Linked DNA regions of Elephas maximus indicus. The protein of the gene in region 1 interacts with the protein of each later gene in a biochemical or structural test. Links are inferred from orthologs where the notes say so. Each region holds a gene or a part of one and is shown in the gene's direction. Other genes may lie near its edges.

The links.
Region 2: the proteins of RNF4 (region 1) and UBE2W form a complex in vitro, tested with the Homo sapiens proteins (2 studies listed by BioGRID). The link is inferred for Elephas maximus indicus from reciprocal best matches to the Homo sapiens genes RNF4 and UBE2W.

What each region holds. Positions count from the first base shown.
Region 1 is NC_064823.1:161,332,025-161,347,800, forward strand, and holds the start of RNF4 (E3 ubiquitin-protein ligase RNF4), read left to right. Parts: upstream 1-9,241; 5' UTR 9,242-9,351; intron 9,352-15,776. Other genes in the region: CFAP99 (cilia- and flagella-associated protein 99), read left to right, coding at 1,957-2,113, 2,894-2,998. UniProt on the Homo sapiens protein: E3 ubiquitin-protein ligase which binds polysumoylated chains covalently attached to proteins and mediates 'Lys-6'-, 'Lys-11'-, 'Lys-48'- and 'Lys-63'-linked polyubiquitination of those substrates and their subsequent targeting to the proteasome for degradation.
Region 2 is NC_064833.1:68,160,421-68,176,968, forward strand, and holds the start of UBE2W (ubiquitin-conjugating enzyme E2 W), read left to right. Parts: upstream 1-8,619; 5' UTR 8,620-8,640; coding exon 8,641-8,742; intron 8,743-16,548. UniProt on the Homo sapiens protein: Accepts ubiquitin from the E1 complex and catalyzes its covalent attachment to other proteins.

The sequences.
Region 1 (15,776 bases):
AGACAATTTCCAGGCATTCAGAAACGGTGAAAAGTTGCGCAGCGCTGGCTTGGATACCCATGACCTAAATCCTAAATGCAGTCCTTTTGCATCTAGGTTGCGGACATGACCTTTTGCCATATGTGCTTCATCTGGCTAGCTAGCTATCTGTCTTTGCTAACCCCCTTGGAGGTAGTTGCAGGCCGCAGACACCTGGCTCCTAAAATATTTCGGCATGCATCTCCTTAAAAATACGCATTGTCCTGCATAATGAGGGCACCGTGGTGCATCCAGAAGAAGGAACAGCAGTCCCCAATGTCATTGAACAGCCAGTCGCTATGCACATTTTCCAGGTGTCTCAAGGCTTCCTTTTCGTTTCAAATCAGGATCCATGTAAGGGTCAGACATTGCATTTGATTGTCAGCTCTCTCCAACCTCTTTCCATCTAGAATGTGCAAGTGCACACAGATGCACACGCGTTTTTGTTTGTTTTGGGGACGTTGTGGCGACTTTTTCAGCCCCGTGTACCTGTCCCGTGACAGCATGGTGAGGCACAGGTCAGTGTCACCCCCAGAGTTAGGCAGGCCCTTGGGCCCTGGCCTGATCTCATGGGCAACACAGCTGCTCCAGGGGAGGTGGCATCCCAGGCGAGCTGGAGCACAGCCTGGTCCAGAGAAACTATCTGCATGGGCCTGGGGTGGGGCAGGGTGACAGGTGGGTGAAAGGAGGGATGGTCTAATTCATGGTCAGTGGGAGGGGAAAGCCTTCATTTGTAGTTCTCTGAGTGACTGTTAGGTCCCTGGGTTGTGCAAACGGTTTACATTCGGCTACTAATTTAAGGTTGGCAGTTCAAACCCACCCAGCGGTGCCAAGGAAGAAAGGCCTGGCAATCTGCTTCCACAAATATTACAGCCAAGGAAAGCCTATGGAGCAGTTCTACTCTAACATGGGGGGTCGCCATGAATTGGAAATGACTCCATAGCAACAAGTTTGGATTTTATTTATTAATTTATTCATCCTGAGTGACTGCTGCTCTGTTTCCAGTTCAGAGGAGGCACATGACAAGCGCAGGTCGGGGCTGCCTGGGGAGGGCTGGCTGGCCACCCAGCAGGTCCCCAAGGCGGCAGCCCCCCAGGGAGACTTCACCACTTCTTTGATGCTGGCTTTCCGCCTGGCAGACCCCAAATGCAGTCTGGTCAGTGTTGAGGAGCCTCTGAGAGTCCAACTCAAGCTAACAGAGCTCTTGAAGTCCCTGCCTGCAGCCAGATCCCACTGGCATTAACTCACAAGGAGCAGTTTAGGGGCAGGAGGCTGCCCAGTCCTGGGGTGGTGCTGAAGAGCAAGCAGGCACAGGGAACAGCACTTGAAAAGGCCTTAGGCTGTGATGTGCCCTTGAGTCAACAGAGAATGTCAGGTGAGTTTCAGAAAAAAAGCTGGTCCACGTATGGAAAAGATTTGGAAAGATACCAAAATATTACCAAAAAACCCAAACCCACTGCTTCAAGCCCATTCCAAGTCATAGCGACCCCATACGGTTTTCAAGGGTGTGAATCTCTGCCAGATCTTTCTCCCACGGAGCGGCTGTTAGTTTCCAGTCGCCGAGCAGTGTAACCACTGGGCCACACAAATATTAGCAGAGGTTATCTCTAATGGCAAAGGGTGTGTGAGATGACAGGTTTTCTTTGTTTTTTACATCACACACATGTATACACGTGTAATACTTATTTTTAAATTCTTAGTAAAAAGAACAAAAAGGTGGAGGCGCTGGCGTGGCCCCACCTCAGCCCCTACCAAAGATCAGCACGGCTGGCGCCGGCTCCTGGGCGGGAACACTCAGCTGTCCTAGGGGCCTCGCCCTCTGTGCCAAAACCCTTCCGGCTTAGTCGCAGCGCAAGTAGGGGCTTCCCCTGGGCGGCCGCCGCGGCCCGTGTCCCACCCGGCTCTGGCCTCGGCCGTCCGCCCTGTCGCCCGGCTCAGGTGGGAGGAGAAGAAAGGCCCGGCAGCTGCCCAGGGCTCCCAGGACGAGCGCGTGCTGGAGCTGCGGCGCCAGATTGCAGAGAAGGCGGCCGAGCGCCAGAGACAGGAGGCTGCGCTGCGCGTGTCGGCGCCGCGGGCCGCGCGCCCCAAGCCCCGGGTGAGCCTGGGCGGCGCGGCGGGCGGGCGGAACGGCGAGCAAGGGGCCCACGGGAGATTTCGGGGGCCGGGCAGGGTGCTGGAGGCGGGGTGCCAGGGTGGGGAGGCCAGCCGGGTGCGGCGGGGGGAGCGGTGTCCGGTGCAGGAGTGCAGAGTACCAGGTGGGCAGCGGGGTACGCGAGAGAGGGCGGAAAGTGTGGGGACTCGGGACGGATTACCCAATGTGCAAGGTAGCACGTGTTTACTTGTGTTTACTCATCCGTAGTGCACAATTCCACCGGGTTTATGTGCGGAAATTAGTAACTAAGCACAAGTCGGCCCGTGGGTATCATGCTTACTGTAAGCCGGTGCTCACTGGTTAATCCGCTCCTGCAGCGGTAGGTGGGCCCGGCGGTGTACTGGGGAGGGGAGCGCGGTGGGGACCCGGGAGGGGTGCGTAGGGGAGGAGGGTGGCGTGGGAGCAGACTCGTTGGTATGCCAGCAGGGCGCGGGGTGCGGCGGTGGGTGCGGGATCTCCGGGGGGGTCCAGGCTGTATGCATGGGGGACGTGGTGAGCGTTCGGGGGACCCGGCTGTGTCCGTGGGGGTTCGGGCCGTGATGTGTGGTGGAGACGCGATGTCTGGTCGTGGCGTGGTGTCCGTGGGGGGATTCGGTGTCCGGTGGGGACGCGGTGTCCAACAGGGCGCAGTGTCCCTGGGAGGCGCGGTATGCGGTGGGGGGAGCGGTGTCCGGTGGGGGCACCGTGTTCTTGGGGACCCACGCTGATGCCCACCCTCCGCAGGCGCAGCTGGAGGCGCAGCACTGGCTGGAGCTAGAGCGGAGCCGCGAGCGAAGGATGCGGGCCGTGCAGCGGGAGGGCCCCGCGCGCCGCCTGGAGGCGGCCTGACCCCGGCGCCCTACCGGCCTCCTGCTCTTCCCCAGAATAAAGTGTGCGGCCCTTAGCGTGCCTCCTTTCCCTCCGCCGCAGCGCGCTCCCTCTGCGCTCCTTGTCCGCCCGCCGCCACGCCCCTGCGCGCCCCGCCCTCCCTCCGCCACGCCCCCTGCGCTCACGGTGACCCCGCCGCCAATCTTCCCGCCCGCTCGCTGCCACGCCCCCTAGTTGCCACGCCCACCATGCGCCACGCCCCCCTGCGCTCCGCCAATCTTCCTGCCCGCTCGCCGCCACGCCCCCTGCGCGCCCCGCCCTCCCGCCGCCACGCCCCCTGCGCTCCCGGTCCCTCCCCGCCAATTTTCCTGCCGGCCCGCTGCCACGCCCCCAGTTGCCCCGCCCTCCCGTCGCCACGCCCCCTCGCCCCGCCGTCACGCCGACACGCCCCTGCGTCCCCCCGCACCCCCGCCGCCACACCCCGCCTGTGACCCCGCCCCGCCCGGGCCTGCACGTGCCCAGTGAAGGGTTGCAGGTCGAGTACTGCGCAGGCCGTGCCACTGTTGCTTGGTACATATCAAGCTAGATTAGTTTCGGGTTTTTATCTGGAATTTAACTGGGCGTCCTATACTTTTATATGTTAAGTCTGCCATCCTTGCCCAGATCCTGGCCCTTCCCTGGGTCCCAGCCCAAAGTTGCCCCATTCCACCGCCCCCGCCCCCGGCAGCCCCCACCACGGCCCCCACCTCCTAACAGCCCCCTCAGCATACACAAACCTGGAATCTCCAGCACCGGCTTGGAATTGCCATCCCTGTCCAGTGCCAGGTGGCTTTACCTGGGGACCCCCCCCAAGACTGGAAGTGGCCAGCCTTCACATGCCTCGTCTCCTGTAGCCCTCACAGTGACCCTGGGGATTAGCAACTGTCCCCCATCCTGCTGAGGCCACGGTTCTCAGAGAGGTAAGGTGACCAGTCCAGAATCAGGACACAAAGTTAAGCTTTGGCGACTTGAGCACCCCACCCCCAGCTGTCCCAGCATCAGCAAGGGGCCAGCATCCAACAAGGTTAAGGGTGCTGGATCACAAGCTCCCCAGGACTGGGACCAGGACAGATTCACTCTCCCGGACCCCCAGCCCCAGCACCTAGGCGTGGCCTTGAGGACAAGCCTTTGAAGTGCATTCACAAGGAGGAAATGCTGCCTCAAGAATGAAGCACAGTGTGTGGTGGGACCCCTGGAAGGAGAAAGCAGGATGGGCCCGTGGTGGGGAGGGGGCGGGGGAGAAGGGGAAGAAAGGAAGGAAGGGCTGGAAACTCCCAGAGAGGATAGACATCCCGGAGAGACTCCCCCACCCCATATCCTCCATAAGCCTTTAGGTGATGGCACGTCAGAGGGGGTAGCTGTGGTGTACCCAAAGGGTGGCCCCTAGGGCACATTCAGACCAGGAAGGTGGGCGTTTCAGCAGTGACAAGAGGAGACGAAAGACCAGAGGCATCTCCTAATTAATATTCTGAGCTGTGTCAGAACGCCAGGATTTCCCCACAACCCAGGCTAGTAAGGAGAGGAATTTCCCACCTTTCTGCTGAATCGGGGCTGGGAGCAGACGAAATTTCACTGAAATAAATAAACATGACATCTCTTACATCCTGTGTTGTGCAATAAAATTCAAATCAATTTCATTCAATATTGAGGAAATACATTGAAGATTACCATCCAGAGAGACTCCCTCAGGGCTCTGAGTGAACTCAGGCCTGTTCAAATGGGCTTCAGTCGCAAGTGACACACCTCTCTCTGGCTTTCAATTCAGTAGTTCATGGAACTAGCAGTTCCTGCAGAGGAAGAAAAGTCTGCGTGGGTGTCTGAGCAAATACCCTGGCAAGTGGGGGGAATTACCCTTCATCTATCAAGCTGGACTCTGGAGCAGAGGGGGTAGGTGGTGGCCAAGCAAAATCGGGGTGCTGTTGGCAATAATAATGAAGGGGGTGGTGGTTCAGTGTAGAATTCTCACCTTCCATGTGGAGGCCTGGTGTGATTCCCGGCTGGCCAATGTGCCTCATCCAGAGCCAGCACTTGTCTGTCAGCAGAGGCTTGTGTGTTGCTGTGATGTTGAACAGGTTTCAATGGAGCTTCAAGACTAAGACAGACTATGAAGAAAGGCCTGAAGATCTATTTCTGAAAATCAGCCAGTGAAAGCCCTGTGGTCCACAACCAGTCAGGGAGAAAGTGCAGGACCGAGCAGCGTTTCATTTTGTTGTGCGTGGGCTAGCCGTGAGTTGGGACTGACTCGATGGCAGCTACCGAGCAGCGTTTCATTTTGTTGTGCGTGGGCTAGCCGTGAGTTGGGACTGACTCGATGGCAGCCGCCAACAATATTGGCAATGACGCTGGCTGGCAGGTAACAAGGTCCCTGACTACGTACCACACTCCTGAACCTGGACAGCTGCTCAGAGCTGGCTTGCCAGCACCTGGGGACTCTTCCAGGTACTCTGCTCCTACAAACCTGAGTTAGAGCAGGCCTTGGGCCATTCTCTAGAGGATGTGGCCTGAAGGCAGCCCTTATGTGGTAAACGTCAAAAATGTCTCCTTGTACCCATGCCTTTGCCATATGACTTGACACCTCCTCCCACCAACACGTGAAGTCTGATTCTCCCAGCCCTTGAATCTGACTTGCTTTGGCCAACAGGGTACAGCAGAAGTGGCTGTGTGCCATTTCTCAGCTTGGGCCCCAAGTGGCCTTGGAACTTCCACTTGCTCTCTGGGAACCCACCCTGCTACCATGTGAGCAGGCCCAGAGTGGTTTGCTGAGGAGAGGGACCATGTGGAGGAGTTGTCCCAGGGGAGCCCTTCCTAGACCACCCTACAACCAGCTGACCTCCAACATGTGAGCCCAGCCAGGAACCAAAACCATCCAGCTGACTTGTAGACTCATGAGCAACAATAAATATCTATTATTTGAAGCACTGAGCTTTGGGGTGATTTTGTTCGAAAGCAATAGCTAACTGATATACCCTCAAGGGGTCCACAGTCTAGACGCCTGCCTCCCCACTTCCTGTATGAGCCCTTAGAAAGGGGATCAGCCAGGGGGGCATAAGGTCTAGCTGGTGCTGAGAAAGCTCTCTCTGAACCTTTATTTGCTGGACTGCCTAGAGAATTGACATTCTGCTTAAGTGAATTTTCTGGGTAAGTGCAAGTTAGCCAGAAGACCCCTGCTGACAATGTCTGAACTCAGATAGGCAGGGGTTCTTATCTTGGAGTTAAAAAAGCAGACTCTCACGCTCCGTCCACAGAGATTCAAGCTCTAGGGTGAAGCCCAAGTATCTGCTTCGAACCAGCTTCTATGAGAGGGACTGTGGGCATCCCAAGGGGCTAGTCTTTCCTCTAAGCTGGGGACATTTAGCAGGAGGAGGGAGCCAGGGATACTCACACTGTAGGTTCAGTGTCAAGGGAGGTTTGGGAGGCCACGGAGGCAGCTTCTGGGCATGAGAGTAACATTTGTAATGACTGTTTTTCAACATCACATTTTCAATATATTAAAATTATAAAGAGAAAATCCTAGCTTTTTCTTAAGCTTTGAAATTCAAATTACGAATCTTATTCTATTTATAAGTCTGATTGTTTTTAACTATCATTTTGATTAATCACTGACGGGCCCATTTATAAACTGAAATTCCCTTAAGCATTTTAAACTGCATTTATAAATGTAAAATCTGATTTTAACATTCCAGTTGTTTGACTTCCCAAGTGTTTAAATAATTTTAATAGATGTATTATATGTATATATCTCTCTTAAATTTACAAGTTCTCTTAAACATTCCAATTACGATCACAAACATTGGAAAAAGCTTTTATTTTTTCAACCTAAAATCACTATCAGATACTCAACCACATAATCTACATTGGATCACATTTATGTCAGACATTCCAACATGCCAAGTTCCCTTACTACCTCATAAAGTATCAACACACAGATTGTTGACGGGTAACTCAAAAATACTAATGCTCTGTTTTTCATAAGGGGCCCTGGTGGCTAACCAAAAGGTTGGCGGTTCAAACCCAGCAGCCTCTCCGAGGGAGAATGATGTGGCAGTCTGTTTCCATAAAGATTACAGCCTAGGGAGCCCTATGGGGCAGTTCTACTCTGTCCTATAGGATCACTGAGTCAGAATCAACTTGTCGGCAATGGGTAAGCGGTTCCAGATCTGCTTTGTCGTTGCCACGCATAGCTCAACCTTCCAGGATTAAAGACCTTCCCCCCAAGGAAGGAGTCCATCCCAGGGCATTTGGGGTGACCTTCTCACTGCCAGAGGGCGCCTAGGGACCAGAGATGATAGCCATGGCCTGAGTATTCTCAGGACAAGAGGACAAGCTGGGCTCTCTTTTCTGGTTGCCATGCCACGTTCAAGTCCAAACCTGGTGCCTAGACTCAAGCCCACCACCCGATTTACTAGTCCAATTCTGGTCTGCAGCCCTTACCAGCCAGGGGGCTAGCATGCACGTGTGCAATGCTGCATTGAATCTGCCCCACATTACCCCTCTGAGGTGGATATTGTCCCCCTATAACAGGTGAGGGCATTGTTGAGACTTGCTTAAAGGATGGAGCTGGGATTCCAATTCAGGCAGGAGGGGTTCAGTTTGCGACCTTTTGAACCCTAGAGTTGCCCAAGATATCCCAGAGGCCACTGAGCTCCAGGCTTCTGCCACCAGGCTGGCCTCGGCCATGGCCCCTCTCCCAGGGGACAGCTCAGGCAGAGGTGTTCCTGCACAGGTTCAGGTCCTCCTTTCCCCATGATTTAGGAGATAATATTAGAGCCATTATTCCATCCTAGAATGTGACCCAGCTGGAGCTGGAGTCACAAGGACCCTGAGGTATAAAAACAATAGCTAGGACAATCTTGGAAAACACCTTTCAGGGAAATTTTCACATAAACAAATCATAAATGGAGCATAAAAGACCCACATAGTTTCCACTCTTATCTTGTTCTATTAGCATTTAGTGAATAGTAAGATTTGTCAGAATAGTAAAGACCCTCCAGACTGTTGTTACTGAAACCTGTACCAATGATTATTAAGAAAGACTATTCAAAACATATGATCACATTTTCTAGCCAGCCTGTGAAAAGGTGAAACTTTCAACAGTTTTGCCCATTTGTAACGTTAATGTATACTGATGGTTCTGAAACATTCCTTGGACTCTGACAGACTTGGCTCTAGCAGCCATTCTTTCCTATTCTGTACTATATCGTTGGACTCGGGCAGATACGGCTCTAGCAGCATGCTTGTCCATTTTCCCATTCTTGCTTATTCTGTAATATTTCTTTGGACTCAGGCAGACATTACCTCTGGCAGCATCCTTGTCCGATTCCTACTTTTGCGTCTTTGAATATATGCCGGATAAAACCTTTCTTTTTGTTTTACTGCACTTTGTCATGTTTCTACCCAGAGCACCTACACCCGCGGGCCTAGCGATAGTCCACTGTTAACCTGGCCCCTGGCCCTGTCAGACCTGACTCTGCCTCCCCCCCCCAGCTGCTCCCCATCTCTGGGCGTCGGGCGCTGCGAAGCCTTCCGTCCCTGCATTTGCCAGTCAACCTCTCCTCCTTCCCTCCCTCACTCCAGCTTCAGGGACACAGGGCTCCCTCTTCTGGAACCCTCTCCTTCCAGCCCATCAGCTCTCAGCTCCAGAGTCACCTTCTCCCGGGACCCCTTCCAAGACCCCTGCAGCGGGCTGCAGGTCCAGGCCCCGCTTCTGGTGGAAGGTCAGGCTCCGAGCCGCGCCAGCCTGGGGGCCCGGTTCCCAGGCGAGGAAGCTGGGGCCCAGAGAGGGGCGGGGGCGGAGCCGGGATTCCGGCGGCGGAACGGCCGGGCCTGGGCTAACGTCCAGCCGCGTCCGGCCAGGAGCACGGGGCTGGTGTCTAGGGCTGTCACCCAGGCGGGCACTCGGAGCCCTCCAGGCTCCGGAGACCTCGAGTCGGGTCGGCACCGCCGGGAGCCGCGGTTTCAGCGCTCCGCCTGGCCGCAGACCACAACTCCCGAGAGGCCTTGCGGCGGGCCGGGGTCGAGAGGGCGGCTCTGCCCGGAAGGCGGGAGCTGGAGCACGCGAGCGTGGGCGGGGCCGGAAGGAGGCGCGTTTCAAAGTGGTAATAGATGGCTCTTTTATCCAATAGCATTGAAAATATCCCCACTGACCCGACGGGCCGAGGGCTAGGGGCGGTGACTGCCAATAGGGACGCGAGGGGGGCGGTGCCACGGCCTCTAGAGCGGAAGTGGACCGCTGGTAGGCGGCGGCGTCTGGCTGGAGGAGTGCTCCGCGGACGCTGTGGAAGGGTTTCTCCGTCTGGTCGCGCTGCCGGCGGAGGGCCGGACTAAACCCGCTCCAGGTAAGGCCCTGCGGCGTGGGGAGGGAGCGGCAAGTCAGCGTCCGGGAGGATTCGGGGCTCGCCGCCTCGCGGCTTGATGAGGCCTCAGCGCCCGCGGCTCAGAGTAGCCTCGGCGCGGCGCTGACCGGCTCAGGGCCCCGACGCCGGGCCTTTCCCCGCGATCTCGGGCCCACGTGGACGCCCGCTCTGCCGGCCGCACGGACGGACCGAGCCCGGCGCGTCAGCGGAAGTGGGGAGGCCTGGGTCTGCGTCTGGGCGCCCCCGGCGGGCGGCGCCGCGGGGCTTAGTCTCTAACTTGGGGGGGAAACTGAGGGCTCCGGACGCGTCCAAGGTCACTCGGGGAGTGTGGGCAGGACAGGCCAGGGCTCGGGGCTGTGCGGCCGCTTGGGGAGGCCTCGCGCGGGGTTTTTGTTCCCCACCGACGGCGCCTCCTTTGTGCGCTCGCGCCACCGCGGGTCTGGGCTCGTGGGCCCCGTGGGAAAGCCTTGTCTGGGCATGAACGGGGCGGAAGACGTGTGGGCGGCCGCTCGGGGAGCGCTGGGGGCCTGGCCCTGGGAGCGCCCCGCTCGAGCCCCGGCACCCAGTGGGCCCTCGGCACCGGGAGCGCCTGCCGACCCCGCTGGTGGCTGCGGCCAGGCCTGCCTGCCCCCCGCCCCTGCAGCGCTCTGCGCCCCTGCACACAGGTGTCGGCAGACTGACCCCAGACACCGTGCTCGGTAGACAGCTCTCCTCCTCCGCCTGTGGGTCCTTTGAAGAGGAAAGGAAGAGTCGGAGCCGTTTTTGCGGATATCGGGTTTTGTCTCACCCTCCAGCTGCCCCTCGACGTTGGCGATCACACCTCCTGCTTCTGCCCCCAGTTGTGGGATCTAGTCCAGCGGTCTCGGCTCTGCAGGCTTGCCTTGCGCCTAGGCTGCCGGGGCGATCCGGGAGACTGAGGCCCACAAAGGTCAGGCGGTCCGCCCAAGGGTGCACAGCCAGGTTCCTGACTGCAGAACTAAGCTTCTGAGGTGAACGACCAGGAGTGCTGGGGCCGCCAGCGATCAAAGGGTATCGAAGGGAGAATCATTTCTTCTCGTGGTTTGGTTTGGAAGAGGAGGGGAGACTTGTTTGGCTCACTTTTATCTGAGTTTGAGGTAAAAATGGGAACGTTCAAATGGAAATATATTGCTGGCTTTCGTATTGCCTGAATTTGAGCGTCCAACTCTGATGCAAAAATCTTTAATATAATGTTTTCTAGACCTTTTTCATTTGTTATTATCGTCAGCTCTCTAAGGGACCTTTGTAGATGTATTTTTTTCTCTAATTATTTTCCCCTATGAATTTTTTTTTTTAACTAACGTGTTCTAGGTGAAAGTTTACGCAATGAATTACCCCTTCGTCGAATCGACTTGATGGCAACGGGTTTGATTATTTTTTGTTTTTTAATGGTTACAGTTTTTACTGTCAGCATTCTCATTACTGGTGTTCAGTTTGTTCTGTTTCCACTGATCCAGCTTCACTCCCCCTTCTTGCCTTCTCATCTTTGATTTTGGGTAGATGTTGACCGTTCGGTCTCACGTAGTTGTTTAAGGGAGTACAGTCCTCATGAGTGATATTGTTTATTTTACAAGCTGATCTATTATTTGTCTGAAAGGTGAATTGCAGAAATAGCTTCAGTGACAAGTTCTAACGGTATCTTAGAGCAGTAGTCTGGGGGGATTTCTCTGGTCTCTATCAGTCCAGTAGGTCTGGCCTTTTTTTTTTTTTTTCAGGAATTTGTGCTTTCTACGTTTTTATCCCATTCAATCCACGACCTTCTGTTGTGTTCCTGGTCAGAACAGTCGGTATTGGTAGTCAGGCACCATCTAGTTCTAGTTCTGGTCTCACGTTAGAAGAGGTGCTGGTTTGCATGGGCTTTTAGTCCAGTGGAGTAGTTTCATCTTTGAGACTTTGATTTTCTTCATTTTCTTTTGCTCTATATAGGTAGAGACCAATAGTTATATTTTAGATGTTAAGCTTTTAAGATCTCAGATGCTACTCACCAAACTAGGATGTGGATCATGATCTTTGTGAATTACGTTATGTCAGTTGATTGTGTTCTGAGACTGTGGTCCCAAGTCTTTTAACTCAGTAAACCAATCCTGCAAGTTGTTTGGATATGTCTAGAAAGCCTCTGAAAACTGCCCCTGTGTGGTTTGTTATATATGCAGATACGTATATGCGTCAACCACAAACGTGCGTAAATGTACGTGTATGTGTCTACAGATACATCTGTGTGCGCGTGTGCATTTGCTCTCATGTTTTTCTGTATGTATATATTTGTCCGTATCTACCTGCTTTAGTATCCTAAGTTAGCACATTTTTGAGGTCTTCTGAGGTCTGTTCTTGGAAATGGTTCTGAGAGACATGCAGCAAGAGATAGGACTGGAAAAATAAACAGGGACCAGATGACCAGCGGTGTTTGGTGTGTCTCCACTTTGAGGAGTTTGGAATTTATTGTAAGGCCAGTGGAAAACCACTGAACTAAGTTTTAAGCACAAGGAAGTGACACAGTTAGAATCACATTTTAGAAAAAGCACTATGCTGTGAGAAGGATGGATTAGAAAGGTGGGTAGGACTAGTGGCCTAGGGATAGTTAGCGCCAGGATAGTGACTGTGGGAATGGAGTGAAATGGGTGTGTTTGAATCTGTGGAACTTGGTGCCTGTGCTTGTCAGCTGGCCAGTCATTCCAGTTCATCACTGGCTCTTAAAGGCTGTGAGCAGAGCCCACGTCCAGTAGTTCATACCCCCATTGGTTTCTGGAAAAGAGTTGAGGGTGCTGCTCAGTAAGTAATTGGCTTATACGCAGTATAAAAGTGAATTTGTAGATTCATTACGTGTGTTGGCAGTGTCCGTCTTTATTGAAATGGTTTACCTACAGTTAACTGTCCTTAAATCAGTAATCTCTGAAGGGTAGGGTGGCTCTTGTAGAATACTACAGGGTTGACTGTTTTTACCGTTGAGATATAATTCACGTCTAAGTATTGTGTTTCTCAGCTGTACTCGGAATTGTAGAGGAAGGCATTTTGAGGTTTCCTGTCTGAAGAGGAAGGCCTGGAGCACAGATATTGCCTAACCCTGAGGTCAGGGTTCAGGTTTGAGAAAACATGAGGTTTGAGCAGAGGGATCTCGAATGGCCTTTGGAAGTACGTAAGTCAGAACTGGCAGGATGGAGGGTAGGAAGGACTTGGGAACTTTTCAAAATGGCTGCTATCATTAGGTTGCTTTGCAAATGGAAGTGTGACCATAAAGCTTTCCTGGAGTCTTCTTTTTAAGCCACATGTTTTTTGGTGTACCCGTTAGGCTATGTTAACTTCTACCTCCAGGTAGCTAAGTAAATTGGCTGGCTGTATAGATTTATTTGATATGCAAATTCAAAATTGAAGCCTGTCTGCTAAATGTTATCTCTTTAGCTTGGAATTGCAATAACAATTTTTCTGCTGTTAAGAATATAAATCCTGTGTCCCTGTGGGTTTCTCTTGGTTTGTGATGTAGTGATACCTACTGTTTAGCGAGTGCCTGCTTATCTGTTAACGAGTCACCCTGCCACGTAGGCGTGGTTATTCCGTTTTGCATGTCCTGAGGCACAGGAAGGTCGGGGTCACTTGCCCACGGTCACACAGTTTGCCCGTTGGAATCTCGGCCCCTGTCTGGCTCCAGTGACCACGCCTCTCCCGGGCCTTGTCGTGCCATCCGCCTTTTTCTGTGGTGGGAAAGCAAACGGCCAGTTTCTCTAGCAGCTCCAAATAGGAAAAAAAAAAAAAACACTTAAAAGCAGGGAATATTATCCGTATTTTATGTTTCTTTTTTAAGTAACGTTTACCCATGGGGAGTTCTGGTCATAAATACGCTCAGGTAACTTCCCATTTTGTGACTGTTTTGTAGTCTTGAAGAATCCAGCTATGTTCCTGAGTGAGCACCCTCCAGCCCTCACCAAGGAAGGTGCTCTGCGGCTGCACCTTACCTTTTACCTAGCCTAACTGTTGCCAGTCTCTGCTGCTCGCTCTGGCCTACTGAAAGGTGCTTCCTTTCTAAGCACCGTCTGCATGTTAGTTAGTTCTGGCCTCCTACTCCCTCCTAGGTGAAAACGCCTCGGGTAAAAATGTTCTCTCTGAAATCTCCCTTTGGCTATCTTTTGACTTGCAGTGTTAAGGCTCCATTTTTCCTTTCTCTCAAAAACACTGCCGTATCTTCCAAGAAAATGAAGCAGTCATCTAATGAGTTAATTTAATTTCAGTAGAAAAACATTTGTGTTTATTCAACATGCATGTTTGTGCTAAATAGTGTGAGGGGACACTTTTTTAAAAACATGTTGTTGTTAGGTGCCATCAAGTCAGTTTTGGCCCATAGCAGTCTTATGTACAACAGAATGAAGTGTTACCCAGTCCTGTACCATCCTTATAATAGTGGGTGTTTTTGAGGCCATTATTGCAGACACTGTGTCAGTCCATCTCATTGAGGGTCTTCCTCTCTTGACCCTTGACTTTACCAATTTTTCTCCAGAGACTGGTCCCTCTCGATAACGTGTCCTTTTTCTGGGACTGGTCCGTCCTGATAACATGTTCTTCTCCAGTCTCTGATATTCTTCTCCAAGGACTGGGCCTTCCTGATAACATGTCCAAAGTAAGTGAGACATAGTCTTGGCAGCCTCATTTCTAAGGAACATTCTGGCTGTACTTCTTCCAGGATGGATTTGTTCATTCCTCCAGCAGTTTATGGTGTGTACACCGTAGTAAGTATTCAGTTTTAGAATTATGTTTATCATTGAGTCCCTGGACGATGCAGATGGCTAATACTCAGACAATAGCCAAAGGTTGAGGTTGGAGTCCATCCAGAGGCACCTGGAAGAAAAGCCTGGCAATTGATTTTTTGTAAAAATCAGCTGTTGAAAACCCTTTGGAGCCCAGTTCTGACACACATGGGGTTTCGTGGGTTGGAGTGACTTGATGGCAACTGGTGGTTATCATGTTAAGAGGGACTGCAGTAGAAGAAATGATGAAATCAGATCCTGGGGTCCTGAGGAAAATGGAAGTAACCTTTGAGGTAGGTCTGGAAGGGTGAGCAGGAGTTGCCCAAAATACCAAACTGTGAGAGTGTGAAAGAGCCCACAGTGGGTGACTGGCGGCCAGGATGCCTGGAGCACAGTGCACGCAGCTTGCCTTTGCTGCTTTTTTGGAAACATGAATTTGTTCCAAATGGGATTGGCACATTGGGGAACAATATGAACATCATGGGGGTTTTGCCTTGGCTTGTGTACAGTTTTGTTGTGGAAAACAGTAAGTGAACACAGAAAACTGAACCAAGCCACCCAGACATACACTTTAGACATCTGCCAGCTCACTGGTAGACTTCTGGTATGAGCCACGCCCAACACAGGTCTGATGTTTACAATCTTCTGCTTCTTTTCCATGCTTTACAATAACTCAAAAGCTGCAGCCCTTCTAAGGCCCACTTCCACTTCCCCAGGCAAACTTCAGGCCTTTTTCAGGTGAAGTGCCATCCTTATTGTGGTGTGTATGTAGTTCTTAACCACTTAGTACGTGTAGGACAGTACTGCCATTTTCATTAGGTTCTTCTCTTTTGTGTGTGTGTCATGGACAAAGTTTTCAAGTGTTGTGCCCGTAATCCATTTTCCCCATAAGCCTTGTGAGTTTTTGCATAGCGCGGTGGTTTTTAAGAATGCACGTGTCACGTTATAACATGACTAACTGCAGCTGAGGCCAGAAAGTTGAGAGGGAAGCCTGGCTCTGTTATAAGGGACTCAACTGAAGGGGTGTACACCAGATTCTGTAGCCACTGGATGTAATCACTCAGGAGCGTTTGCGAAATTCTTGGGTCTTTTGGAGCCTGATGATTTTTTGAGCTACCTTGTGAAGCCTTTGGACTCCATCACACAGACTCATGTTTTCCCTTCTGTTCTTGTGCCTTTCTTTTGTCCATTCCTAGTGTAGTAGGTGCTTGCTGTTCTTCGTGGCTGTGTTTGTCCTGGGGGGCAAGGACCACTGACTTTGGTTTTCTCTTTTATTTCATTGCCTACGTAGACTGTTGAAGAGGGCCTGGAGTAGGGCTGCTCCAGCTCACAGGCCCAGTAGTCAGGTGCCACTGCCAAGATGAATTTCCCTGAGAGAATTGGTTTTGGCTAGCTCCCTGGTGACAGCATGCATCTGTTCACTAGCCAGCCACAGTGCACTGCCTAAGGGAGGAAGGAAATGCTGTGTGAGGGGCCCTGGGAGCCGTGCTATTTGAGCTCACCATACCCCTGCTGCTGGTATGCGAATGAGGGACTAACCACTGTGAGGCACTGCCTGGCTGCTCTCTGCTGTTAGAAGTCAATTCTGACCAATACCAACCCTATAGGACAGAGTAGAACTGCCACATAGTGTTTCCAAGGCTGTAATCTTTAAGG
Region 2 (16,548 bases), on another chromosome or scaffold:
GTTGGCCCTGGACTCATGGTAACTCCACTCACAATGGGATTGGACCGTCGTGATCCCTAGGGTTTTCATTAGCAGATTTTTTGGAAGTAGATCATCAGGCCTTTCTTCTCAGTCTGTCCTAGTCTGGAGGTTTAGCTGAAACCTGTTCAGCACCATAGCAATGTGTACGCTGGTAGTGACAGATAGGAGGTGGCTGCTAATGAGGTGCATTGGTCAGGAACCGAACCTCAGTCTCCCACATGGAAGGTGAGAATTCTACCACCAAATCACCAGTCTCCCCCATTTTAAGTGTATGGTTCCAGAACTTTTAGTTAATTCATAGAGTTGGGCAAGCATCACCACAATCTAGCTTTGGAACATTTCCTTTACCCCCCAAAAGAAAACATTGCAATACTTCTATCCCGTGATCCCACTGCCATTGAGTCAATTTTGACTCATAGCAACCCTAGAGGACAGAGTAGAACTGCCCCATAGGTTTCCAAGGAGCCCCTGGTAGATTTGAATTGCCAACCTTTTGGTTAGCAGTGTAGCTTTAACCACTACGCCACCAGGGTCAGTTAGTAAATAGCCGCTGCCCTCAAACTCCCTGAAGAACCCTACTTCCATGGCTCCTAGACCTTCCCCATAATCTAGCAAAAGATACCTGACCCACTCTCAGGGAGCCACCGGCCCCTGCCCCAGAAGTGAGCATCCTCTGTTCTGAATGGTTGGTACCTGTATCACACCTGTTGTTAAGTATGTTTAGTACCACCTTTGGGCAAGGCCAAGGCAAATACCCACCTCTTCTGGTTCCCAATCCAATTTTCACACAGCAGCCTGCTTCTCTGGAAGACCAGAAAACAAACAAGCAAACAAAAAGAAAGTGAGTGCTATGAAATTATTTTGTCTACGTAAAAGACAAATTTTGGTAGGGCAAGAGATTGAGCTGGCATCCATCATCAGTTCTTCGGTAAAGATGTTCTTTTCTTGAGGTTCACAAACCTCTATGGATAGATGACTTCAGAAGGCCAGATAACTCCCTAAAATATAAAATTTCATGAGTATGTGCATTTTGCTGGGTAGTGGGTCCACGGCTTTCATTTGATTTTTAAAGGGGCCCACGGCAAAAAAAAAAAAAAAAAATTACAGCCTTTCCAATTAATAATATGCTAAGAACATGGTTAAGTGCTTTGCTGCTAATTCAAAGGTTGGCAGTTCAAACCCGCTAACCACTCCATGGGAGAAAAGACCTGGCCATCTGCTCCCTTAAAGATTACAGCCTAGGAAACCCTATGGGGCAGTTGTACTCTGTCCTATAGGGTTGAAATTGATTCGCCAGTACCTAAAAACAACATGTTTTGTAAGAGGTCTACGCGAGAAATAAGCAAGTAATGTGCTCAAAGGCTGCAGATCTGGGTAAAAGAATTCTTCCTAGAGAGCCAGGGGAACGGGTGAAAGTGAAGACAAAGTTCTTCTCATTCACTACTTTATTGCAAATTAGGTATGTATGTAAATCAACTATTTTTAACATATAGAATAAGTCACACCTACAAACCATTTGTTATTTTCTTTGGCCTTTATTAAGAGGTTCACATGAAATGACTGGTGCTGGTACAAAATTATTTTTAAAAAATACACTTATGCTTTGTACATATGCTTTTCTTAAAGTACAGTATTACTCTAAGTTGTGAATTTTGTGTTTTTGCTACTTTATGAAATCCCATCTATAGGCTCAACTGGATTACTTTAACATCTAAATTTGTCAAACTACATACCCCTCCAAGTAAACAAACAAACAAACAAAAACCAAACCTGTTGTGTCAACTCCAATTTACAGCGACCCTATTAGACAGAGTAGAACTGCCCACAGGCTTTCCACGGAGCACCTGGTGGATTTGAACTGCTGACCTTTTGGTTAGCAGCTGAACTCTTAACCACTACACCACCAGGGTTCCCCCCTTTGAATAGTTCTACATAATTTACATTGAAGCCAAGTTCCTTATTGTATTTACAAAAACAATTTTTTAAAAAACTCAAAATCCTACATTATCCCCATTGCATTTTATCTTAGACTTTTAGCATGGTATTTTAGAAATATTTTTGAATTTTTAAAAATGTTTTATTGTTTTAGGTGAAAGTTTACATAGCAAATTAGTTTCCCATTTAACATTTTTCACAAATCGTTCTGACATTTTGTGTGACATTTCTGTGATAATTTTCACAATGTGTCAGCTTTCTCATTATTTCCATTCTGTTTGTTCTGTTTCCAGTAATCTAGCTTCCCTTCCCCTCTTTGCTTTTGGGTAATTGTTGTCTGGTCTTATATCGGTGATTATTTAAGGGACACATTTCTCCAGGGTAATATTATTTTATAAGCCAATGTATTATTTGGCTCAAATGGGCCTACAGGACTGGTTTCAGTGACAAGCTCAAAGTGTGCCTTAAGGCAATAGCCCTGGGGGTTCCTCAAGTCTCTACCAGTCCAATAGGCCTGGCCATTTTTTACGAATTTGAGTTTTGTTCTATGTTTTTCTCCCATTCTATCTGGGACCATCTATTGTGTCCTTAGTCAGAACGTTTAGTAACGGTAGCCACGCACAATCTAGATCTTCTGGTCTCAGGTTAGATGAGGCCATGGTTTGTGTGGGAAATAATTTTGATTTTTTTTTTTTCTGGTAAAAATCTTTTATTTATTTATTGTTGCTGTTGAGGATATACACAGCAAAAACATACATCAGTTCAAGTTTCTATATGTACAATTCAGTAACATTGATTATATTCTTCAAGTTGCGCAACCATTCTCACCCTCCTTCTCTAAGTTGTTCCTCCCCCATTTACACTCACTGCCCCCTAAGTTTCCTATCTAATCTTTCAAGTTGCTGCTGTCAATTTGATCTCATACAGATAGATCTTAAAATAGCACAATGCTTAAGGCAGACATTTTTACTAGCTAAGCTAAATTATTGTTTGGTTTTAAGAAGAATTCAGGGGATATTTTTGGTTTATGGTTTACAGGTTATCTCAGGGCAACATTTTCAGGGGTTCGTCCACCCTCCATGGCTCCAGAGAGTCTAGAGTTGATGAGAATATGAAATTCTGTTCTGCATTTACCCCCTTTTGGTCAGGATCCTTCTACAGAATGTTTGATCAAAATGTTCAGTAATGGTAACCAGCACCATCCAGTTCTTCTGATCTCACAGCAAAAGAAGCAGTTGTTCATGGAGGCTATTAGCCACATACCCCATTTCTTCCTCCCACTCCTGACTCTTGTCCTTACTCTGTTGCTCCAGGTGAATAGAGACTAATTGTTGTGACTTGGATGGTGGCTTGCAAACTTTTACGACCCTAGGCACTACGCAAGGAACTAGAAGGTAGAGTTGAAGCATTAGGCACATTATTAGGTCAATTAACTGGGATGTCCCATGAAACCATGACCTTAAACCTCCAAACCAAGGAACCAAATCCCAGGAGGTATTTGGTCATACACAAGCAGCCTCAGCAGCTACTCATAATTTTTGTTGTTGTTGTAAATATACAAACTTTGATTATTTTTAATAGGTGAATGGAATTTGAAATCTGGAAAAAAACCTTAAAGATTATGCAGTCTGACTTGCTGATTTTATTGATAAGGAAATAAACCCACAGAGATTAAGAGCCTTGCCCAAGCTTGCTAATGACAAAGCTTGGACAAGAACATAAGCCTTGGATTTCTAGTTTGGTGCCTGTTCCAACAAATATGCTGTGTGCTGTTGAACTGCCTTCATTTCTCTGGTGAGGTCAACCATGAAGAGACTAAGAACCAACTACTCTGTGGAGACACAAGCTCAAGCAAGGACTTGTCAACTTTGCCTTTTCATGCTCCAACAAGCATATCCTCACTGGACTGCTCCTGACTGTGCAGCCTAGTGAATCATAGGAATTCAAGCATTCATAAACTACATTACATCATCAGTACTGCAGCATTTACCTAGTGGTCCCTTTGTAGGTCCTTTAATGTTACCAGACTATTTGGTTTCCCATATTTCCTCCTCTTTGGTGCCACGGAGTCTAGCTGCTAATGTATTCCTCTGTGTCTCATGCTCTGCCTTTACCCAGGAGGGAAGACCGCAGACACGTACACAACCTGTATATGTCCTAATTTTTTTCTTCTAGGGAGGCAGAGGTGAGGGCAGTGTGGCAGATGGGGGATGTCTTAGTTCTAGTGCAGCTATAACAGAAATACCACAAGTGGACAGCTTTAACAAAGAAAATTTTATTCTCTCACAGTTTAGGAGGCTAGAAGTCCACATTCAGGGTGCCAGCTTCAGGGGAAGTCTTTCTTTTCTGTCAGCTCTGAGGGAAGGTCCTTGTTATCAATCTTTCCCTCATCTAGGAACTTCTCAGCACAGGGACCAGATCCAAAGGACATGTTCTGCTCCTGGCTCTGCTTTCCTGGTGGTAGGAGGTCCCTGTCTTTCTGCTCCTGTCTCTCTTTCATATCTCAAAAGAGGCTGACTCAAGATAGAACCTAATCTTGTAGATTAAGTCCTGATTCATTAACAAAACTGCCTCTAATCCTCCCTCATTAACATCGTAATGGTAGGATTTACAACACACAGGAAAATCATATCAATTGACAAAATGGTAGACAATCACACAATACTGGGAATCATGGCCTAGGCAAATTGACAGACATTTTTGGGGGGCAAGATTCAATCTATAACAGGGGAAAATCACCTCCTTGTCACCTGATGGTCATTTCAAATTGCTGTGGAAATAAAAAATAAACACCATTATCAAATGTAACAAAAATAAAAATTCTTTAATATCATCTAATATCTATTCTGTGTTTATATTTTGCCAGTTCCCAAAAATGTCTTTTTACAGTTGGTTTGTTAGAATCGGGATTCAAACAAAATTGACATATTGTGTTTGCTTAATATGTCTTTTAAATATCTTTTACCATAAATGATGCTATTTAGGAGATTGAGAGCGTGGGAAACTTCAACTTCTCTACTGCCGAACTGTTTTCCAAAGTAATTGTACCAATTTCACTCTGAGTTTATAAAAGCTTCACTCCCTCTCCTACTTTTGGTATCATCAGGCATTTAAACTTTTGCCTATCAGACATTTAAACTTTTGTAAGCCCCACTCTGTAAGGAAATGGAATGTGAACATAGTCTTCAAGAAATATATAATATAAAATAATACAGAAATTTCACACTGTAGTGCAGTGAGTTACTATTATATGCCCTTTTTAGCTGTTGTTCTTGTAACTCCCACAAAATGATTAGGTGAGATTATGCAAATAAGGTGCTTGTGGCCCACCAAGGGGATTGGACAGTTTTGAAACCTTTGTGGGGGTGGGACCATGCATATAGGGTGCATGGAACCCTTGTAGGAAATAGCTGGTTTTGCCATCCCACTAGGTTTAAAGGGAGCCAATCCCAGAGGCTGAGAGGGGGACCTCACTACCATCAAGAAAAGGAGCCAGGAGCAGAGTGCATTCTTCTGACCTAGGGTCCCTACACTGAGAACCTCCTAGGGCCAGGAGACAGAGAGAGTTCTAACACTGAAGACTGCACGAGAGAGACCAGTACCACAGGACTGGCAGGCTAGGCTTGCTGATGCACAGAGAAAAGAGAGGTAAGTGCCTTTAGGCAGGTGGTTGCCGGGGGAGTGGGTGCCTGTGGGCACTTGTTGGCAGAGCTAAAGACCTTTGTTATACTTGCCCGTCCAAGTATAACAGGACAAGAAGGCCAAGAACTGAAGGGTGAGAGAGAAGCCTGCCTGTGAGCATGGCTGAGAAGAAGCTGTCCTGATTAATTGTCTTGTTAAGTCGTTCCTTTTACTACCAAGTTGATCCTGGCCCTGAATTGTAAACTGTTATTCCCTGATAAATTCTATAATTGTGAATACGGTTTGTGAGTTCTATGTGGCCACTGCAATGAATTATCAAACCCAGTAGCAAAGTAGAGAGTGGCGTGGGAGGGATGGGATGGCTAGTGTCAGAACTGGTAAAAAGGTTGGAGAGTGGGAGTATGTGGGAATCAGCCTTGGGCTGATGTTGACAGTGATTTTCTGTCTCCCCCTGAAGTTAGTGAGGTCTGACGCTGTACCATTTCTGGACATGTTCCCTGGAGATAATTATATATCCCCATCCCATCTGAAAGTCACTGTTTTAGCTGCTCTATGCACTGGGATCTTTTTATTATACATTAGTGAAAGAGTAAAGACGATATGTAATTATGTGCTAGTTAGTATTTCCTAGGAGTCCCTGGGTGGCATTTACGGTTAAGCACTCGACTACTAAACAAAAGGTTGGTGGTTCAAAACCATCCAGAGGTGCCTCAGAAGAAAGGCCTACCCATCTACTTCCACAAGATTACAGCCATTGACAACCCTGTGGTTCTACTCTGACCCACACTGAGCTGCCACGAGTCAGAACTGATTCAACAGCAACCACTTTAAGAGGGATATAACTGGCACTGACTTTTCCCCTCATATGAATATCCTTCTAACACATCTGAAACTCAAGGTGCCAGATGTTGTTTCTGCTGAGAAGTGTCAGGATTCCTATAACCTCTTTTCTTCCTTGTTAATACTTGTTAGCTCTTATGATGTCATAATGCTTTGTTTGTAGGGTCATCTGATGTTATATATCTTTAGGAAGGAAGAGTTTTTAAACAAAGTGAACCGCATATAGTAAAACCTGATTTCTGGAGCAATTTTATGAAATAATAGGGAAGAAGATCTCTAAAAGGAAATATACTTGGAAACTTTTCCTATCAGCTTTCTTCTTTCATTGGGATATGTGTGATTTAACAACCTGACATGTGATGTGCTTCTGGATGTTTCCTGGTTGCCAGGAGCATCCAAACATTTCTAAGGACACATCATTTTGTACAATAAAGGGAAAACCAGCTCACTTCTGGCAATAAATGGAATTGGGTGCGGAAGTGTGTTTAATATTATACCATACAATAATTGGTGTATTTTTAAAAAATTTTTTATTGTGCTTTAAGTGAAAGTTTACAAATCAAGTCAGTCTCTCTCACAAAAACTTATATACACCTTGCTACATACTCCCATTGCTCTCCCCTTACTGAGACAGCCCGCTCCCTCACTCCACTTTCTCTTCATGACCATTTCGCCAGCTTCTAACCCCCTCTACCCTCTCATCTCCCCTCCAGGCAGGAGATGCCAACATAGTCTCAAGTGTCCACCTGATCCGAGAAGCTCACTCTTCACCAGCATTCCTCTCCAACCCGTTGTCCAGTTTAATCCCTGTCTGAAGAGTTGGCTTTGGGAACGGTTCCTGTCCTGGGCCAACAGAAGGTCTGGGGGCCATGGCCACTGGGGTCCTTCTAGTCTCAGTCAGACCATTAAGTCTGGTCTTTTGACAAGAATTTGATGTCTGCATCCTACTGCTCTCCTGCTCCCTCAGGGGTTCTCTGTTGTGTTCCCTGTCAGGGCAGTCATCGGTGGTAGGTGGGCACCATCTAGTTAATAATTGGTGTATTTTAAAGATCTTTTTCCTTTATGAACACATTTCACATTAGGGAAGTTCCCAGGAAACATAATGATCCATCTTAAGAGTGGGAAGGATGACATTCTACACTGCTTTTATATTTAAATCTTAACTTACTGAAATTTCTAAAAAGAAAGCCAAGTCAATTAAATGACAGGTTTTAAGCTTTCATTCTGGTAAAGTCAAAGTCTTCTACTCAATATATCAGCCAGCTCAGTTTTTTAGAGCAAGAACACGAGGTGCAAGGGCTTCCATTTTCCTCTTTAAAAAACCGTGATATTTTCAGTTCTGGAACAGCTCTCCAAAACGCTGCTTCTGGTAAATGTTGGCAGAATTGGTGCATTGCTTAAGTTAATTCTGTATGCTCAACCTTCCTTACCCAGTATCTCTAGGTTGGATGACCATAAAGCTGCCTACCCACAAAATAGACTGGAGAGAAGGCTGGACTTTATAGAATGTATTAAGTACTTATTATAACGAGATACCGGCACATTAAAAAAAAAAAATCATGCCTAGGGCTAAATCTCTGAGCAAACTTAGATTTCCGTAACAACCTTAACTATTTATTATACACATGAACTGAGGTTATGGGGTAAGGAAGTGGATATCACACACACTAGAAAAACTTCAAAAAAGTCTCTCTTTTTTTAGACAAGTTTCAGTTTTGCAAATCCAAAAAACTCTTAACTGTAAAACACCAAAACGTTGTCTGCTCTCAGTTCTCATCCCATTGTAGAAAGAAACCTGTGTCTCTCAAATTAGGAATACAAGAAGTCTTTCTGGTCGGCGAAGACCAGAAAGCAGCCCCGTGGTAAATTCTATCTGGCCCAAGGGTATTCGAAAGGAAAACCTCGAAACCGTACACCTGCGGCTGGAAAAATAAACCAAACAAAAAGTAACCCAAAGATAAGCACATCACCAGGATTTCGTAATATAAACCGACTACGTTGGCACGGTCGGTACCGGAACCACGCTTCCGGAGCTTCTCAAGCACTCAAGGCAAGGCGTGGGCTCGCCGCGGACGCACTAAAACGAGTTGTAATCACCGGTACCTACAGCGCTATTCACCGCACCCCGCCCCTCCCCCAGCGCGCCAGCCAATCCCCTTGCGCTCTCTCCTTCCCATCGGAGGCCCCTCCCCCGCGCCCTGGATGCTGAGCCCCCGCGGCGTGACGCGAGCACGGCAGCTCCGCCCCCTGCGTCTCTGGCCTCGCCGGCCTAGGGGGGATGGTTCCATCATGGCGTCAATGCAGGTGAGAGGAGTTTGCTGCAGCTGGGAGGGCGAGGGAACCGCCGCGAGGGTGCGATCATTCGGGCGGGAGCGCCGCCCGGGGCTCGGAGGTATTCGGGCGGCGTCGGGAGCAGTCCTAGCGGTCGGTCTTTGGCTAGTTTCAGGGCGTTGGGGAGGGGTGAGAGGCGGCCAGGGCAAGGACGGGTGGGGGGGTCTCGGTCGGTCGAAGCGGACACCAGCCGGCCGGGAAGTTGGGGGATAAAGAGGGGTTAGAGGAGGAAAGGTCGAAGTTTGGCCTTGGCTCCGCCACAGTGCTTTCGGAATCGCCTTCCCGCACACACAAACGGCCAGAGTCGGTCGCCGGCCAGCCCCAGGGATGCCTTTCTCTCCGCGGTCCCCGGCCGGCGGAAACAGCTGCTCTCGCCGTTGTCGCCGGGGCAGCAGCGGCGCTGAAGGGGCTGGGTGTGGAGAAACTGGAAAGACATTCCCTGAGAAGGCGGCTGGCTGCAGAAGGCGCTTCGCAGCCTCTGCTCAGGCCTCCCACGCCTGGCTTCTCTTGACTGCTCGGCACCTCCGCTGTCCTCCCTTTGACTCCTAATGCCCCTTGGGTACCTTCTCCTAGGAGTCACGGCACTCTCACAGACATTACCCGAGCCGCCCACTTTCTCACCCCAGCTCGAAGCTGCCCTTAGTCTATTAACAGCATTTGCCGCCTAATTTGCAATCTGCGGGAACCACTAGCCCCTTATGCCTCCCGGGATAGTTCACCCTCTAAGAAAATTTTTCCTCTGGTGCCCCACCCTTGCGGTCTCGGTAAGGCTGTCGCCCTTTACCCTTATTCTCCAGACCATTAGTAGAACCTTAGTTTATTAGGAGGAGTGCGTAACCTGTGTCCTAGCTACCTGACTTGTCAGTGCGTGGTTTTCTGGCTTTCCAACGCAGTTTAGAGAGGAGTTTGGTTTTTCAGGCAAAGATGGCAACCACAGTTGTGGTTTGTAGAGATTGACTCTGCATTATCTAATCTGTAGCTTGCGTTTAATTCACAGATGAAGACTAGCGTATCAAAACGTAGCAAGAGAAGGTAGAACTTATTAGGAATGTCAACTGAACGCTTTTTAGAGTTTTAAAAAAGCATCCCCTTAAGTGAAGAAAGAGACCGCATTTTTTCTTAGAAGGATTTTTTGTTTTTGTATCTAGAAGAAAAAGCAAGTACCCCCTCATTTTTCCCCCCTCTTCTGTGCGAGTGCAGTGTTTTTCTTACATCTCTTCTGCATCTTCTCTCTCTTGTGCACATCAGTTCTTTGTTCCACACTTTTGTGCTTTTGTCTTACCCCTTTCAATCTGTTTTTCATATGATAGTCTTGTTACCTTTGCTTTTCCCTATGGACTCTTGCAGAACAGAAAAAAATTGTATATAACATTTCTGGTTGAAAAGATGTGACGAAACAGTGGAGGGAGAAAACAAGAACAATTTCAGGAAACATTGTACTTTACACCAGTCTCCCTGAGAGACGTTAGAGAAGTTTCCTCATTTGAGGCCAAAAAAGGAACTGTTAAATTTAACAGTAGATGGGCTACGTGACCAATTTAAGGTTATTAGTGTATTAAGATTAAAACATTTGTTTTAAAACTAAAAATTAAAATCCACAACACTTGCATGATTGTATTTGACAAGTGAGCATAGCGTTACAGGGATGGTAACTGACAGTTAGCTTTTCAGTTATCTGGAAAAGGGATGTTTCAGTTGTTAAGAGAAAAAACCCAAGCTGGTAAAGAACTTAATAATCTTGAATTTTACATGGCTTCTTAAGCAGTAAGAAGCCCTGTTGGTGCAGTGGTTAAGCATTTGGCTACTAACTGAAAGGTCAGTGGTTCAAATCTACCAGCCTCTCCACAGGAGAAAGATGTGGCTGTCTGCTTCCAGAAAGATTACAGCCTTGGAAACCCTATGGGACAGTTCTACCCTATCCTATAGGGTCACTATGAGTCAGAATTGACTCAGAGCAATGGGTTTGATTTGGGGTTTTTTGTTTTGTTTTTGTTTTTTTTGTACTTTAACAATGGACAAAAATACTTGCCAGTGCAATATTGCATTTTTCTATGTCACAAGTACTACCTCAGTCTGTCTTACCACTTTTCTTTTCCTTTGTGTCTTGGTGATTAGAGGAATGGAAAATTCATACATCCTTTTTTAAGTAAAATACAACTAAATCTTTCCCTTTTGTTTGTATTTTTAAAATATACGGATTTTCTGGTAGAATCTTAAAAAATACTTTAATGTGGATAGGTCACACTTTTTGAGACAATACTGTCTGCGTGTGGGGTGAACAAAGTTTTTTTTCCCTGATAGTCTTAATAGCAAAGTTTAACTCTTTCTAAAACAACTGAACTATACATAAAGCAATAACCAAATTATTAAATTTGTTCATTCATGGAACAATTGTTTTTTGAGGACCCAGTATGTATCACCAGCAGTCATCTAGATGCTGAGGATCCAGCAGTGAACAAAAGCAGACAAGGTCTCTGCCCTTGTAGATATAAGTCTAGTTGGGGGAGACAGACATTAAGAAAATATTTAAGTTAATCGTGTATTAAATTAGAAGGTAAAAAGTGCTGTGGAGAAAAATATAGAGTGGATGGAGGTTTGGAAGTAGATATTTTAGATAGGGTAATGAGGAAAAAGTATGCTGCTCTGACCATGTCCTCATCTAAAAAAGCTTTAAGTAGGTTATTTAACCCACACTAGGATGTTACTGCTGCTTAAGAAGTTATTCAAGCTGTAAGGGGAACTGTATTTTAAAAACAAGTATATTATATGAATGTAACGTGTGATTTGATTACTTGAATTGATAAAGACGAAAAAATGAGTCTTCAGGAGCAATGCACTAAAAATTAGGGATAGACTTCGCATTTCGCATTGGAGACAGTTTTAAAGGAGAGGTTGTGACTGCTTTAATGTATTCTACCAGTGCCTTCCAACTTTTCTTCAGGTCATGGCACACATAGAAAATAAGTTTTGATGAATGAGATTGGAGCCTGGAATCCCCCGGCCAGGCTCTATGCTGTCGAGTCGATTGCAGTTCGTAGAGACTGTATTGGACAGAGTAGAATTGCCCCATACTGTATCCAAAGTTTTAAATATTTACGGGAGCAGACCGCCACATCTTTCTCTCATGGAAAGATTGGTAGCTTTGAACCGCTGACCGTTTTGGGTAATGGCAGAACGCTTTAATCACTGTGCCACCAGTGCTTCTAGGATCCAGGGAAATCAATATTCTGGCACAACCTGTTATGTTGGGAAGTTCTGCTCTATATTATATTGTTAGGGTTGTAAGTACAGTTCAAGGTTGTGGTTTTCAAACGTATGTGAGCCTTTTGAGACTTTCCACTATTTTTTTCTTTTCTCTCCCCACTCCTTTATTCCTGTGAACAAAGTCACAAATCACCAAGTAAGATTATGGTTAGATTATGTTTTAAGAAATTATTCTTAAACACTCATGGTGATACTTAAAGTTGGCAGGATTTACACTAAAGAAATAGCTCTATATTTAATTTTAGTAATTCTAGAAATCTTAAAATGTTAAATGGAAAATTGTAGCATATTTTTAGTATTAGCATTTCAGGTACTCTGATTATATGGTACAGCTTTCCTATCCTCAAACTGTAAAAACATTAAAGTAAATTTTTATATGATTCTAAACAGTTCTCAAAATTGTAGCGTTTGGAGTATGTATTTTCAGCTAAACTATAAAATTGTATTTTTTTGTTATGTTTATATAAAAAACCAAACCCGTAGCCATCAAGTCGATTTTGACTCATAGCGACCGTATAGGACAGAGTAGAACTGCCCCATAGAGTTTCCAAGGAGCGCCTGGTGGATTCAAACTGCCAACCATTTGGTTCGCAGCCGTAGCACTTAAGTACTATGCCACCATACGTTTGCATAGATAATATTTAATTTTTTCTTTTTCCTGTGACTCGTTTCATATTGTGGAATACTTAATTTGGCCTCCTGGATGTATTTTCTGTTTCTAGAATTTAGTTGTTTCATTCAGACTTATATTACAAGTTTTTAGGTATACCCAGTATACTTTTCTAATTTAACCATCTAGATTAATTTTAAATATGGACTGTTGTCTTTAGACTCCTCTTCCATTGTTGCTTAGTTGTGATTGAGTTGATCCCTTACATAATGTCTTAAAATTTTAGAAAGTACATAATAGCTAGAAATAGCCAATTGAGTCACTTTTTTATGAATTTTCTACATTTTCTTTCTTTTAACCTAGCTGGATCTTAGGCTATTGACTGCTAATCTGGCTAGATGGAAGGAGATTAGGAACCAGAGAGGGAATATCAGTGTTGGCTCATTTCTTATTTTCAAACGACTTGAAAATAGTTATTTTGAATTATTTGCAATTTGCATTGCTCTTTACTCAAGTAATTGGCTGTAGTGATTAACAGGTAGAATATGTGCTCTTACTAATTCTACTGTTATGGTAGTCATGTTGCCTTGACGATTAGATACCATATGCCTATTTGTTGATATCATTGTGAAGGATTACAGCATAATGAAAAGTTAGAAAATTGACGCCATCTTGGATCTCAAGGCTTACTGACAATGGGGACTTGCACAGTATGGCCAGAATTAAAATATTTGAGAAGGTTGTTTTGATACTGTGGCTAGGAATAGGGCTATCTGGGAACTTTTGGAGCAGGGATCAAGGATAAGGATAATAGCATAGAATAGAATTCAGGATATTCTGTGTAAGTGATAAACATAAGTAGATGGTAGACCACATGTGAATAAAAGCATAAATCTTTGGTAGTCCTCTTAACTTTCAAAACAATCATTGTCCATACTTTTTGCTGTTAATCAAATACTGCTCTATGAGATCCCTTCCATTTTTGTCTTAAGGTGATTGCTTAGGATTTTATTTAAGTTTTCAGGTCTCTTTCTCTCCCCTGGACCATAGACTCCATGAAAGTAGGAAAAATCCTTTCCTTGTGTTACTTAAATGTGTACATAGTGACTACAGAAAACACTTGTCCATCACTTGACACTTGAGAAAACATTCATAAATAGCAAATTATGCATTATTTTATTTTAGAGAAATCTATTAAGTAATTTTATAGTACTAAGCAAATGATCCCCCCACGTTTCTGTCAGACATTGCTGATGTCAGATGGATCCTGGCTGAAAACAGAGAATACCAGAAGGGTGTTTACCTGTGTTTTATTGACTATGCAGAGGCATTCAACTGTCTGGATCATAACAAATTATGGGTAACATTGCGAAGAATGGGAATTCCAGAACACTTAATTGTGCTCCGAAACCATGGTGGCATAGTGGTTAAGTGCTACGGCTGCTAACCAAAGGGCTGTTTGAATCCGCGAGGCGCTCCTTGGAAGCTCTGTGGGGCAGTTCTACTCTGTCCTATAGGGTCACTATGAGTTGGAATCGACTCGACGGCACCGGGTTGGGTTTGTTTTTTTTTTTAGTTGTGCTCATGAGGAACCTTTACATAGATCAAGAGGCGGTTGTTCGGACAGAACAAGGGGATAGTGATTGGTTTAAAAACAGGAAAGTTGCGCATCAGGGTTTTGTTCTTTCACCATACCTATTCAGTCTGTATGCTGAGCAAATAATACGAGAAGCTGGACTATATGAAGAAGAACAGGGCGTCAGGATTGGAGGAAGACTCATTAACAACCTGCGTTATGCAGGTGACACAACGTTGATTGCTGAAAGTGAAGAGGACTTGAAGCATTTACGAATGAAGATCAAAGACCACAACCTTCAGTATGGATTGCACCTCAGCGTAAAGAAAACAAAAGACCTCACAACTGGACCAACGAGCAACATCATGATAAACAGAGAAAAGACTGAAGTTGCCAAGGATTTCATTTTACTTGGATCTACAATCAACAGCCATGGAAGCAGCAGTCAGGAAATCAAAAGACGCATTGCATTGGGTAAATCTGCTGCAAAGGACCTCTTTAAAGTGTTGAAGAGCGAAGATATCACCTTGAAGACTAAGGTGTGCCTGACCCAAGCCGTGGTATTTTCAATTGCATCATATGCATGTGAAAGCTGAACAATGAATAAGGAAGACCGAAGAAGAATTGACAGCTTTGAATTGTGGTGTTGGTGAAGAATATTGAGTATACTGTGGACTCCAAAAGAATGAACAAATCTGTTTTGGAAGAAGTACAACCAGAATGCTCCTTAGAAGCAAGGACGGCAAGGCTACGTCTTACATACTTTGGACATGTTCTCAGGAGGGATCAGTCCCTGGAGAAGGACATCATGCTTGGCAGAGTACAGGGTCAGTGGAAAAGAGGAAGACCCTTAACGAGGTGGATTGACACAGTGGCTGCAACAATGAGCTCAAGCATAACAACGACTGTAAAGATGCCTCAGGACTGGGCAGTGTTTCGTTCTGTTGTGCATAGGGTCGCTATGAGTCAGAACCGACTCGACAGCACCTAACAACAACAGCAAGCAAATGATTACCTATAATGGAACAATTTAAAATTAACATTTCTATTACATGTATGTCCCCCAAAAGTTGACTTATTTTCTCGATTTATGTGTTTGCTGTAACTAATGTTTTCCAAAGTATTTTTATATTCTTTCTTTCTGGATTCTTATTCCGGACTTGTAAATGGAAAGTCAAATGACATATCATTCTAATGGAAAAAGACACAGAGTGACTTACCTAAAATTATATAGTGACTGAGTAGTGAAGCTAAGATTAGAAACTAGGCTCTGAAAACTACGGATGCTGTGGGGTTATAGGTAATGAACACATTAACAATTTTGACATTGTGAACAAATCACTGGGATAGTTATTTAACTTTTCAGTCAAGAATTGAGCATTTACTGAAGTATTCTGTAGCTAAGAAAATCAGAAAAATATTTCTTACGGTTTATAATAGAAAGTTACTTTGGATCATTTTTTTAAAAATAATTTTTATTGTGCTTTAAGCGAAAGTTTACAAATCAAGTCAGTCTCTCACACAAAAACCCATATACACCTTGCTACACACTCCCAATTACTCTCCCCCTAATGAGACAGCCCGCTCTCTCCCTCCACTCTCTTTTCGTGTCTATTTTGCCAGCTTCTAACCCCCTCCACCCTCTCATCTCCCCTCAAGGCAGGAAATGCCAACATAGTCTCAAGTGTCCACCTGATCCAAGAAGCTCACTCCTCACCAACATCCTTCTCCAACCCATTGTCCAGTCCAATCCATGTCTGAAGAGCTGGCTTCAGGATTGGTTCCTGTCCTGGGCCAACAGAAGGTCTGGGGGCCATGACCACTGGCTTCAGGATTGGTTCCTGTCCTGGGCCAACAGAAGGTCTGGGGGCCATGACCACTGGGGTCCTTCTAGTCTCAGTCTGACCATTAATTCTGGTCTTATGAGAATTTGGGGTCTGCATCCCACTGCTCTCCTGCTCCCTCAGGGGTTCTCTATTGTGTTCCCTGTCAGGGCAGTCATCAGTTGTAGCCAGGCACCATCTAGTTCTTCTGGTCTCAGGATGATGTAGTCCCTGGTTCATGTGGCCCTTTCTGTCTCTTGGGCTCGTAATCGCCTTGTGTCCTTGGTATTCTTCATTCTCCTTTAATCCAGGTAGGTTGAGACCAATTGATGCATCTTAGATGGCTGCTTGCTAGCATTTAAGACCCCAGACGCCACTCTTCAAAATGGGATGCAGATGTCTTCTTAATAGATTGTATTATGCCAATTGACTTAGATGTCCTCTGAAACCATGGTCCCCAGACCCCTGCCTCTGCTATGCTGGCCTTGGAAGCATTCAGTTTATTC